3 linked regions of the Alligator mississippiensis genome follow. The protein of the gene in region 2 purifies or fractionates together with the protein of the main gene of each other region. This does not show direct contact. Links are inferred from orthologs where the notes say so. Each region holds a gene or a part of one and is shown on either strand. Other genes may lie near its edges.

Region 1 (3,740 bases), on a different chromosome or scaffold from region 2:
CCCATGCCCCCACCCACAACCCTCTTCAGAGGGCCTGCAAAACAGGGACAAGGGCGAAGGTCAAAGGTCTGAAATGAGTTTACTGAAGGGAGACAGCGAGCAGAGCGTGCCGGCCAGTGCTCAGCAGCCCTTGAGCGTGTGCAAGGAGCCAGCGGACGCTGCTCAGCGAAACTGTGCTTGGAGATGTGAACAGAACAGGAACGGGAAGGGGGCTGTGCAATCCCCGGGGGTTCCCCCAGCCAAAGCCTCTTTCCACGTCCAATAGACAGTGGGGTTTTTAAAACTGTAAAAGCTTTTGGAGGTTTTTAAGGCCCGGCTACACAAAGCCGTGCTAGGACGATGTAGTTGGGGCTGGTCCTGCTTTGAGCACAGGGATAGACTCGAATCACTAGATGTGACCTCCCAACCCTCGTGGTCTCCGATTCTGTGGCCAGATTGACCAGGACCCGGAGGAGGTTGACCAAGAGGACTTGGTGGAGCCATGAACGGGGACGTGTAAAGAAAAAAGGTGCAAGGAGGGGGCAGGGGGTCATGCAGCCAGAGCCTCAGCAGCAGGTCTTGGAGCAGTGTCGGCCTTAGGGTTAATGGGGCCCTGGGCAAGAGTCATTCAGGGCCCCTTAGAGGTCAATATTAACCCACCACAGTTGCATCATGGACCTTTTTACTAGTCTTTGGGGGATTTTTTTTTTAAATTTGTTTCCGAGGCCAGATTAGCCAAAACCAATCCCAAATCCAAGAGTCTAAAACCATAAGTGGCCCTACTACTGGCAAACACCCGCCACCCACACCTGGGGCTCCAGATGTTTCCAAATCCTTTGGTGGGCGTCCTATGTACAGGCCCAAGCCCGGAGCCTGGGGGAGTTCGGACGCCCCCGAGATTTGCTCCTTCTCAGCCATCACCTACACGCAGCAAGCAAGGCAGGAAACCCCCCTTTTCCAAAAATGGGGCTTCACGCTGCTGCACCTCGGCAGGGACTGAACCAGAAGAGCAGGATCTTCGCCTATAAAAGGCAGAAGGATTTACATAAATAGCCGAGTGTTAAAATGCGAAAACTTGTGGAAACTACATCCCCCTGCCCCCAAATAGAAGAATAAAAATTGGGGACACCTAAAGTGTGGCCTGGTTTGCCCCCCCCACCCGGAGGAGGCGGAGAAGAGGCTGCAGGGGGCGCCCCGGCAGCAGGGAAACCCAGCGAGCAAGGAGGAGTGGCCCCCCAGAAGCCAGCAGGCCGAGGGGGCTGGTGCCCCAATCGTTGGGGGCGGGGCCTCAGCTTCTCTCATTTGCATAACCCCGCCCAGGGGAGGTGTGTCTCGGATTCGCTGCGGGTTCCAGAGCCTCTTGGGTTCCCAGCTGCGATTGGCTCCTCGCGGCGGCCCCGCCCCCGCTATAAAAGGCGGTGCCGAAGGCGGATCGCCAGCAGTCGGCGGCGGCGGCGGGGCTAGGCGCACGTGGCGCGGGGGGAGCGGAGCCCGCTGCCAGCATGAGCGACGGGGCGGGCGGCGAGCGGGCGGCGCCGCGCCTGTGCTGCCTGGAGAAGGGCCCGAGCGGCTACGGCTTCCACCTGCACGGCGAGAAGGGCAAGCCGGGCCAGTTCATCCGCCTGGTGGAGCCGGACTCGCCCGCCGAGCGCGCGGGGCTGCGGGCCGGCGACCGCCTGCTGGAGGTGAACGGCCACAACGTGGAGCAGGACAGCCACCAGCAGGTGGTCGGCCGCATCCGCGCCGCCTCCAGCGCCGTGCGCCTGCTGGTCGTGGACCCCAGCGCGGACGAGCCGCGAGCCCCGGCCCAGGAGGTGCAGCAGCAGCCGCCGCCGCCGGCGGAGGAGGAGGAGGAGGAGGAGGAGAAGGCGGCGGACGAGCCGGAGCCGGTGCAGCGGGTGCGTGCGGGTCTGGGGTCGCTTGCTCCCTCCCTCCCTCCCTCCCTGCTGCCCCCGGGGGGGCCGCTCTGCCCCTTGCGGGCTCCAAGGCAGAGCTTCCCCGGCACCCGTGGGACCAGCGCGCGTGCAGCCCGCCAGTGCTCAGCGTAGACGTGCGTTTGCTGTCCCCCGGTTGTCTGAGACTGGGGAAATGTGCATAGATGCATAGATTTTCGGGTTGGAAGGGACCTGTTAGATCATCGAGTCCAACCCCCTGCCCTGGGATGAGCCGATCCCCTGTGCCTAATCCTCGGTTCCTGCCTGCCCGGTTCCTTCAGGCCAGGCTGTGCCCGCAGCGGTCTCGTGAAAGCCGGCCTTGGCTTTCCAGAATAGCCAAGGAAGTGGTCACAAAAGTGTGCCAGGTTCGGGCAGCACCGGTGGGGGGAAGAGAGGGTGTCAGGAAATGGTTGCCAGCGTGGTGATCGTGTGAAGTTCGGTGTGTTTGAAAGTAAAAGGGCGTCCGGTTCTCGGGCAGCCCCAGTGCTGGCATCTTTTTGAAACAGCCCGACCTGCTGGGAGAAAGGAGAGGGTTGGAAATCAGCCGTTTCCAGAGAGCGCATCTTTACCTGTTCTCTGTGCGGGGGGGACTTGCAGCCAGGTCTTCTCGATGTGCTTCCTGCCGAAAGGAGAGGGGAGGTGCAGATCAGAAGGAGGGAAGGTGCAGAGGTGCGAGAATCCAGGCTGCGTATCTAGACTGGAGGAGCTGGACTGTTCTCGGTGGTGACAGAGCAAGGAGCGAGGGTCTCAAGTTGCAGCAGGGGAGGTTTAAGTTGGATATTACAGAAAACTTTCTCGCTGGGAGGGTGGTGGAGCGCTGGAACGGGTTACCTAGAGCGGTGCTGGAAGCTCCGTCCTTGGAGGTTTTCAAAACCCGGCCAGACAGAGCCCTGGCTGGGATGATGTAGTTGGGGCTGGTCTAGCAGGGGTTGTACTGGATGTGGTCCCTTCCAGTCCTCATTTTCTATGGTCTCCCTTTGGTGTCTTGGATACCTCTGAGCCTAGAGGTCGATTTCTAGGCTACTTGTTCAAATTACAGCGGGTTAGAAACCAGCACTAGAATTTTTACATATTTTCAAGCACTAACTTTATAGCTTGTTAGCTCTTTTTTGTAGTTGGATGGACATTTTTATCTTGTGATAATTACTCTGCACATGTGGCCGCTCTAGCTTCGTTGCACCATTAACCAGATAATTGTGTGATGATCACTTCGCACATGTACCCGGTCTTACTTTGCACGTGTTACCAGTCTAAACTTATTCCATGTTTAACCAGTGAGTTGCATAATATATGTAATATATAGCAGGGGCCTAGGTGGCACACGAAGAGCCACAGAATAAGCACAAAAGAAAGCCTGATGATGATTCAGAGCTATTAATGTTGCTTTTGTACCTGGGAACTCGGTGTAGAACCAGTGGCTGGGTGGTACTAGGAGCTGCACAAAGTGCTGAAGGAAAACAGACACACCTTCCCTAGTCTCTATTAATAATCTTCAGGGCTAATTATAGATGTAGGACTTCTGCTTTCCCCTCTGCCCACTGTCAAGAGTGTGGCAGCCTCTGTCTTGCTGCATTGCTGAAATAATGATACATCTCAAAGGAGCCAGTTTCTTATCAAGTTTTCCAAATGAGTATATAAAAGGCATGGATGGAGGTTGTCTCTCACCCCTAGGGCAGAGTGATATCTTCTCTGTGCTGGTGGGGCTAACCTCTTGCCATCTCCAGTGTATAAAGACAAGCTTAGCTTCTGCGTCCCCTATTCATATGATAAAGGGGTTTTTTGGCAGAGGGTCGGGGGTAACTAAAAATTGGAGCCTTTGTCAGGTTA
Region 2 (3,740 bases):
ACAAGCTGTTCTTCATGTGGAAGCCTGTCTCTTGAGCAAGTGGGTCCAAAGGCCTGAGGTCTGGTGCCCTTCTCAGTCCTGGGCCATTCTTACAGCTCTTCTCGAGAAAGCATGTTGCTGCGCCACAGCCGGAGTGCGATGCCGTTCGGATGTCTGTTCCATGAGCCCTGCTGGAGACCGACTGGACGCCAGAGATGGGGGCACTTGGTGGCTCGCACCCTCCAGGAGCAGGGGAAGGAGAGGGGCACACTTTGGATCTTCATCCCTTGAGCCTGCTGATGTTGAGCACGCTCGTCTCCAGCTCTGCTGCTTTGAAGGAAATGGACTGCAAACCTGCGCTATTTCTCCTAGGCCCTGCCAGCGCCAAGCTTGCAGGGACCCGCCCTGCACACTCGGTCTCTGACCTCTTCCAGGACATAGACCTAGCACTGGACTGTGCCTGTTCCTGGAATGGTTTCCCTCCGCCTGCGCAAGTGCTTCGAGAGCAGGTTGTGCTGCTCTCCTCGAGACGGCTGGCAGAAGTGGCCCTGCTCGGCACGGGCTTGGGGAACGGCTGTCACCGTTTTGTTCAGACTGCTGGTCTCGGTGTGCCAGAAAATACAGCATAAACCCGGTGCGCTGTAGCTATGCTGGGTCTTTGCGGGCCGCGCCTGCCTGCCTGCCTGCCCGGCCGGCTGGCTCGCAGGGAGGGCTCGGGCTCGGGCTCAGCCACAGCCTGCAGCTCGGAGGAGGCTCCCTACGGCAGAGCTCGGCTGGAGCACGGACGAGGTGCGGCGAGCTGGCCCGGGCAGGTGCATCGGCAGCAGTGGAAACGCCGACGCAACCACCACGGGCGTCGGAGCTGGCCGTGCAGACAGCCCGCGCCTGGCACAGCTCTAGGCCAGCTCCAGCTCCTGCTCCTGCCTTGCTGCAGCCCGGGCGCAGCCTGCCCGGCCCCTTCCCGGAAGAGCAGTGGTGCCGGCGCACGAGGGCGGCGCGTGGAGGGCCGGCCCGCGCTCCCCCGCGGGGACGGATGCTCGCTGCCCTTCCCCGGGCCAGGCCCGTGGCCCGAGCAGCGCTGGGGGCTGCTCTCTGCCGCTCTGCGCCCGGCCCGGCCCGGCCCGGCAGCTCCCGCGGCGCCGTGTTCGTCGGGGCCGGGACGTCCCGCCAGGCGGGCCCTGCAGCAGCAGCAGCAGCAGAGCAGGCTGTTTGGCCGGCGCCCCGCGGAGCAGCGAGAGAGCCCGGCCGGGCGTGGGCGTGGGCGTGGGCGCGGCCCGGCCCGCGCGGGGGGTCTGCGGGCAGAAGGCGAGGGGGAGCGGACTGCTGTCTGACCGCCGGAAGTGGGTAGCGCTTCCGGCCCGGCCGGTCCGGGTCGTGCATGCTAATGAGGCGACGGAGGCGGAGTCTAGGTGGGCTGCCGGGCGGTGGGCGTGGCCGGCACGCCAGCGAGCCCGTGGGCGGGGCCAGGCGGCGGAGCTGCTGCCGGTAGGCTACAGGGGTGGGCGGGGCCGGGTGACGCGCGTTCGCGCGGGGCGGGGCCGGGCCGGGCCGGCCGGGCCCATGGAGGCGGCGGAGCCGGACGAGGACGAGGCGGGCGGCCGGGCCGGGCCCCGCGCGGGCCCGCGCCTGCTCAAGGTGCGGGGGCCGGGGCGGTGGTCGCGGGGGCGGGGCGGGGCGGGGCGGGTCCTGTCCTGCGCCCCCCACCCCCTCGCGCGGCGGGAGCCCTTCCCCGCGCTGAGCGCCGCTCTCTCCGCAGAGGCCGGCGCGGCGCCGCGGGAGCCGGAGCCGGAGCTGGCGGTTCGGGTCGCGGGAGCGGAGCTGGCTGCGGGAGGACGCGGCGCGCGGCTGCGTGAGCATCCAGGGCGCGGAGCCCGCGGCCGCCCCGCGCCTCGTGCTGTGCAGCGCGCACACGGCCGCCGCCGAGCTCTGCCCGCCGGGACAGCGCCTCTACCTGCAGCTGCACGGAGACCTGCTCAGGTGAGCCCGCCCCGCCGCGGGACGGGGGCTCGGCTCTCCAGGGCTCGGCGGGAAGCGTGCGCGGGCCGGGCCGGCTCCCCTCCCCTCCCCTCCTCTCCGCGCGCAGACCTCTCTGGCGGGAGCCGAGCGGCAGCGGGGAAGGGGCCAGGCGAGCGCGTGTCCCCGCGCCTGGCACAGTGGGGCTGGGGTGCCTGGTGTCCGCGCCGTGCCGCGCCCCCGGGGTTGTCGTCTTGTGGCCGTCGCCTCCGGACCACGCTGTCCTGGCGCCGGAGAGGAGCCGCTTGAGTCCCTGCAGTCTCCCCGTGAATCACGAGGGTTTCGGCCACTGCCGGGTCCCTTGGTCGCCGCGTCTGACGGTCCCGCCGCGAGGCCCCTCGGTGCAGCGGCAGCTCCTTGCGAGAGGAAACGGCCGCAACTTCGGTGCCGTTGCGTCGCGTGCGCGCGCTGTCAGCCAGCAGCCGGGGGGGGAGCAGCTGCCGTGGCGGGGAGGCGGGGGCAGGTTCGCAGTGCTGCACCCCTCCAGCCTCTTCCTTGCGCCTGTGGGGCGGCAGCCGGCAGCTCTGTCTGGGCCGGGGACACCTCCTGTTTTGCCTGGGAAGGCTGTCCGGACTGGCACAGCGCTACCGCCCTTCACTTGGGACGCAGCTGGCCGATGCCGGAGCGGCGTGGAGCAGATGGAAGAGGCTGAGCTCTGTGGGGGGCTGGAGAGCGCAGAGGGTGCCAGGCCCTGGCTTGTGCCTCGTCGCAGCAGCCAGGCAGGGCTGGCAGGGAGCAAAGGGCCTAGGCCCCGGGGGAGTTTGTGGAGAGGCTGAGAGCAGAGGCCAGGCCGGCGTGGCTCCGCTCCGCACAGCTCTGGTGACGTGGGAACGGAACGTGCTCGACCACGTGTTTCCTTACAGCGGGTCGGAGGCCCTGCCGCGAGGTACGTGATGTTTGCAGCCGGGAGGGGCTGGAACTGGGAAAGCAGCAGCTCGGAGACGGGCTTGTGGGTCCCAGCGGGGAGCACCCTGCACGTGGGCTCCCAGCGGCATGGCGGCGAGAGGGCGCGGTTCTGTGGGGTGCGGGCGGGAAAGCCAGGCGGCCGTGCTGCCTCAGCAGGCAGGAACCACACGCCCTGTGCTGGCTGCCCTGTCAGCGCATCCGCAGGGACGTCTCCATGCTGGAGGATGCTCAGCGAAGAGCGGTGTGTGCTGCTTGGCTGTCTGGCAAACCTGCCTGCCCCCAAGACCTCCGTGCACTCGCAGGAGAGGGGGAAAGGCAACTTTCATCGTGGGCTGTCAATACCAGCAAGGGAAACGTCCGTTAAGTCAGGAGAAGAATATAGCAAGGAGCAGTCGTGGGCAAAGGAAGCTAAGGAAACTCGGAGTAGGAGCAAAGGGAAGGCTTTACTGGTGAGGCTGGCTTGCCTGTGGGAGCAGTTGCCAGAGGGGAGTCGTCCTGACTCCAAGTCCTGTTGCTGTGGCTGGCGTCAGTCTCTGGGCTACTCTGGCTTGGGCAGAAGCCGGGGCGGGCTGCCAGGATCGCTCAGTGAGTCTCTGGCCTTTGCAGTGCAGGAGACAAGAGGAGAGCAGGGCTCCGCTCTGGCTCCGTCTGCTGTCATCCTGTGTTCTGGGGAGGCTGCTGCGTCCCATCCCCGGCGATCCCGGCACTGCTCTGGCCACCTCCTGCAGCTACAGAGATGTGCTTCATTGGGGATGACTCTTGAGTGTCTTGTTCCAGGAGTGCCAGACCAGTGTGACCAGCATGCTCTCTGATCTGCTGTGCTCTCAGCTGCATTCGAAGGG
Region 3 (3,740 bases), on a different chromosome or scaffold from region 2:
AACAATGTGCTAGAAGACACGGGATTCACCCAAAGAGCCTCGTGTGCCCACTCTTGTTTAATACCCCCATACCCTGCTCACCCCCTTGCCCCCACCCTCCGCCTCTGCTGCCCCCGGGGACAGCCCCCAGGTGCAGCGCGGTGCCAGCCAGGGGGATGCAATGCAATGCAATGCAATGCAATGCGTGGCGGCTCGCCCAGGCCGGGGGGGTGAAGCCCGCAGGTGCGGGGAATGGGATGCAATGCAATGCAATGCGTGGCGGCTCGCCCAGGCCCGGGGGGTGAAGCCCGCAGGTGCGGGGAATGGGATGCAATGCAATGCGTGGCGGCTCGCCCAGGCCGGGGGGTGAAGCCCGCAGGTGAGGGGAATGGGATGCAATGCAATGCAATGCAATGCGTGGCGGCTCGCCCAGGCCGGGGGGTGAAGCCCGCAGGTGCGGGGAATGGGATGCAATGCAATGCAATGCGTGGCGGCTCGCCCAGGCCCGGGGGGGGTGAAGCCCGCAGGTGCGGGGAATGGGATGCAATGCAATGCGTGGCGGCTCGCCCAGGCCGGGGGGTGAAGCCCGCAGGTGCGGGGAATGGGATGCAATGCAATGCAATGCAATGCGTGGCGGCTCGCCCAGGCCGGGGGGTGAAGCCCGCAGGTGCGGGGAATGGGATGCAATGCAATGCAATGCGTGGCGGCTCGCCCAGGCCCGGGGGGTGAAGCCCGCAGGTGCGGGGAATGGGATGCAATGCAATGCGTGGCGGCTCGCCCAGGCCGGGGGGTGAAGCCCGCAGGTGCGGGGAATGGGATGCAATGCAATGCAATGCAATGCGTGGCGGCTCGCCCAGGCCCGGGGGTGAAGCCCGCAGGTGCGGGGGATGGGATGCAATGCAATGCGTGGCGGCTCGCCCAGGCCCGGGGGTGAGGCCCGCAGGTGCGGGGAATGGGATGCAATGCAATGCAATGCAATGCAATGCAATGCAATGCAATGCAATGCAATGCGTGGCGGCTCGCCCAGGCCCGGGGGTGAAGCCCGCAGGTGCGGGGGATGGGATGCAATGCAATGCGTGGCGGCTCGCCCAGGCCCGGGGGTGAAGCCCGCAGGTGCGGGGCGGTGCGGGGCCCGGCTCCCCCTCCGCAGCTCTGGAAGGTTCCCGTTCGCATGAGGGGGAGGCGCAAAGCCGGCTCGGCCCCCGGCGCCGCTCCGCTGCAATGTCACTCGGCGCCGGCGGCCGCGGGGAGGAGGCGGCGCTGCAGCCGGAGCCGGAGCCGGAGCCGGAGCCGGGCAGCAGCAGCGGCGGCGGCGGTGGTGGTGGTGGCATGGCCCCATCTGCAGCCTCCCGCGCCTAGGCGGGATCGGGATCGGGGTCGGGGTCGGGGTCGGGGCGGCGGAGCCATGGCCAAGGACCAGCTGAAGCCGCGGCTGTGCCACATGCTGAAGGGCGAGCAGGGCTACGGCTTCCACCTGCACGGCGAGAAGGGCAAGAGCGGCCAGTTCATCCGCAAAGTGGAGCCCGGCTCCCCGGCCGAGGCGGCGGCGCTGCGGGCCGGGGACCGCGTCGTGGAGGTCAACGGCGTCAACGTGGACAAGGAGACGCATCACCAGGTGCGGCCCCGGCCCCCGCCCCGGCCCGCACGGGTCTCAGGGCAGCACCCGGACCCAGCCCCGACGTCCCGGGGTCCTCCCAGCCGCCCCTGCCTGCTCACGGACATACCCTGCGGGGCCAGGGCCAGGAGGAGCTGGACTAGAGGTCCAGACAACTGCCCTAAAACCCTGGGGTCCTCCCAGCCAGCCCCCTGCCCGCTCACGTAGATGCCCCGCTGGGCTAGGGCCAGGAAGAGCTGGACAGGAGGTCCGGAGAATTGCACCACAGTCCTGGGGTCCTCCGAACCAGCCCCCTTCCTGCTCACATAGATGCCCCGCTGGGTTAGGGCTAGGAGGAGCTGGACAGGAGGTCCGGAGAATTGCACCACAGTCCTGGGGTCCTCCGAACCAGCTCACATTGATGCCTGGCTGGGCTACGGCCAGGAGGAGCCGGCCAGCAAGTCCCGGGACTTGGTGGGGAGGGCATCAAGGAAGAGGTGCAGGGAGCCTCAGCAGGAGGGTTAGGATGAGGAGACAGGGTGGTTTCTGGCTCTGTTTTTGCGACCGTGGGGCTCCCTGCCTAGCGGGGCAAACCCCTGACCTTTGCAGGGGGCTGGGGAAAGGCTAGGCAAATGTTCAGATGAGGTTCTTTGGGTCAGTCCGAGCTCTTTTATTAGATCAGCTCAAATAGTTGGAAAAAATGTACCGCCCCCGAGGCAAATGTTCGGCGCTTGTTACTAGGGTAAAATGGGGATTTCTGTTGATTGCAGATTGAACTGGACACATAACGGTGGGGACGAGATCTCTTGCTGGCTCGGTGCTGAGCAGTTCTGTGTGGCTATCTGTTTAGGGCAGTAGGGGCTTGAATATATTCGTAGCTTAAAGTATATGGCAGGGACCCCCTGGAAGCGTGCTGCATTTGTCAGGTATTGGTCTGTCTCCTGCATGCTTCAGGGACCGCCCGGGATGACTGGGATAGTGGGCTTCGGTGATGAATTGCTGCTAGTGGGTCCTAGAGGCATGGGTGCTTGATGATCAACTCATTGGCGCAGTGATCTCTCCAGCCAGGGTGCCAGCTGTGAGGTCCTTTTAAGGGTGGCACACAGCGTGGTGCAATATTAGGGGTGCAGACAGCTATGCATGATTCACAAGGTAAACCCAGAGATTTTAAGTAATATCAAAAACGTCCTGCCCTGGTGTGGGCTTTTTTTTTTTTTTTTGCAACTTTTTTTTGGTGGTCAAGAAACAAGTGAAAGCTAAGAGCTGGCATTTTCGGAGGGCCAGGAGTGCCCAGAGTCCAGCAAGGGGCCCTGAGTATAAGGTTGAAAACCGGTGCAGGGCGTTGGAGCAGTTTGTGGTCTCGGTAGTGCTGCAATATGGAGTTGAGCTTGCTGACACCCACACTGGATTTGGCTCTTATTGTTTGTTCATTAGTAAAACAGACCCAGGCGAGCCGAGCACCCTCTGCAAAAGTGAACACGAGCCCTTTCGTTCTGATTTGGAATCGAGTCAGGCTCCATCTCTTCCTCTCTTCTAATTGCTGGGAGGAAAAGGGAGCTCCTGTTACATATGGAGCTGCATTTCCCATCGGAGAAGTGTCAGGGCTCTTCGTATGAAAATCTGATGGGGTGATGATGGGTGATTTAACGTGTCTGAAATGTGTGGGCTTTCTAGTTGCGTGGCGTAAGTGAAACGAGGGGCCTGTCATCTTCTCCATGTTTCCTTCTCCTTGCAAATAGCCCAGCAGATTTCAAAATATTCAGTGTTTCGACAAATAAAGTTAGCATTTGGGATCTCAGCAGGTAGGATGACGTCATGAGGCTGGCAATCCTTATGCTTGAGGACAAAATGCCCAATATTTTCTGGTGCTCCTTGCCCTAAGTGATACCAGGGTGCCGGAATAAAGGGCAATACCAGGGTATTGGACTCCACGGGTTTTCCCATTCTCTTCAGCACAGTGGCCTTTGAGCTAATAACCCTTTTACCTCTAGCACTGAAATGACCCGTAGCAAAGATCCTTAGTCTGTTCACGGTTGTTGCAAGCTCGGGAAGTTGACGTTTTTGGACATTTTCATGGTGTTTGTTTGTTTCCCTGACTTCTGGTTTGTTTTTTTTTCCTCCTAAATGCAAACAAGCTGCAAAGCTAAATGTGGAAGGTCTGTTCAAG

What was found.
Region 1: the proteins of PHLPP2 (region 2) and NHERF1 purify together in Homo sapiens (co-immunoprecipitation; 3 studies listed by BioGRID and IntAct, with this or other methods). This does not show direct contact. The link is inferred for Alligator mississippiensis from reciprocal best matches to the Homo sapiens genes PHLPP2 and NHERF1.
Region 3: the proteins of PHLPP2 (region 2) and NHERF2 purify together in Homo sapiens (affinity purification with mass spectrometry; 3 studies listed by BioGRID and IntAct, with this or other methods). This does not show direct contact. The link is inferred for Alligator mississippiensis from reciprocal best matches to the Homo sapiens genes PHLPP2 and NHERF2.

The regions. Positions count from the first base shown.
Region 1 is NC_081831.1:11,681,949-11,685,688, forward strand, and holds the start of NHERF1 (Na(+)/H(+) exchange regulatory cofactor NHE-RF1), read left to right. Parts: upstream 1-1,423; 5' UTR 1,424-1,481; coding exon 1,482-1,877; intron 1,878-3,740. UniProt on the Homo sapiens protein: Scaffold protein that connects plasma membrane proteins with members of the ezrin/moesin/radixin family and thereby helps to link them to the actin cytoskeleton and to regulate their surface expression. Necessary for recycling of internalized ADRB2.
Region 2 is NC_081833.1:77,620,484-77,624,223, forward strand, and holds the start of PHLPP2 (PH domain leucine-rich repeat-containing protein phosphatase 2), read left to right. Parts: upstream 1-1,535; 5' UTR 1,536-1,539; coding exon 1,540-1,614; intron 1,615-1,735; coding exon 1,736-1,956; intron 1,957-3,740. UniProt on the Homo sapiens protein: Protein phosphatase involved in regulation of Akt and PKC signaling.
Region 3 is NC_081836.1:57,480,560-57,484,299, forward strand, and holds the start of NHERF2 (Na(+)/H(+) exchange regulatory cofactor NHE-RF2), read left to right. Parts: upstream 1-1,133; 5' UTR 1,134-1,150; coding exon 1,151-1,594; intron 1,595-3,740.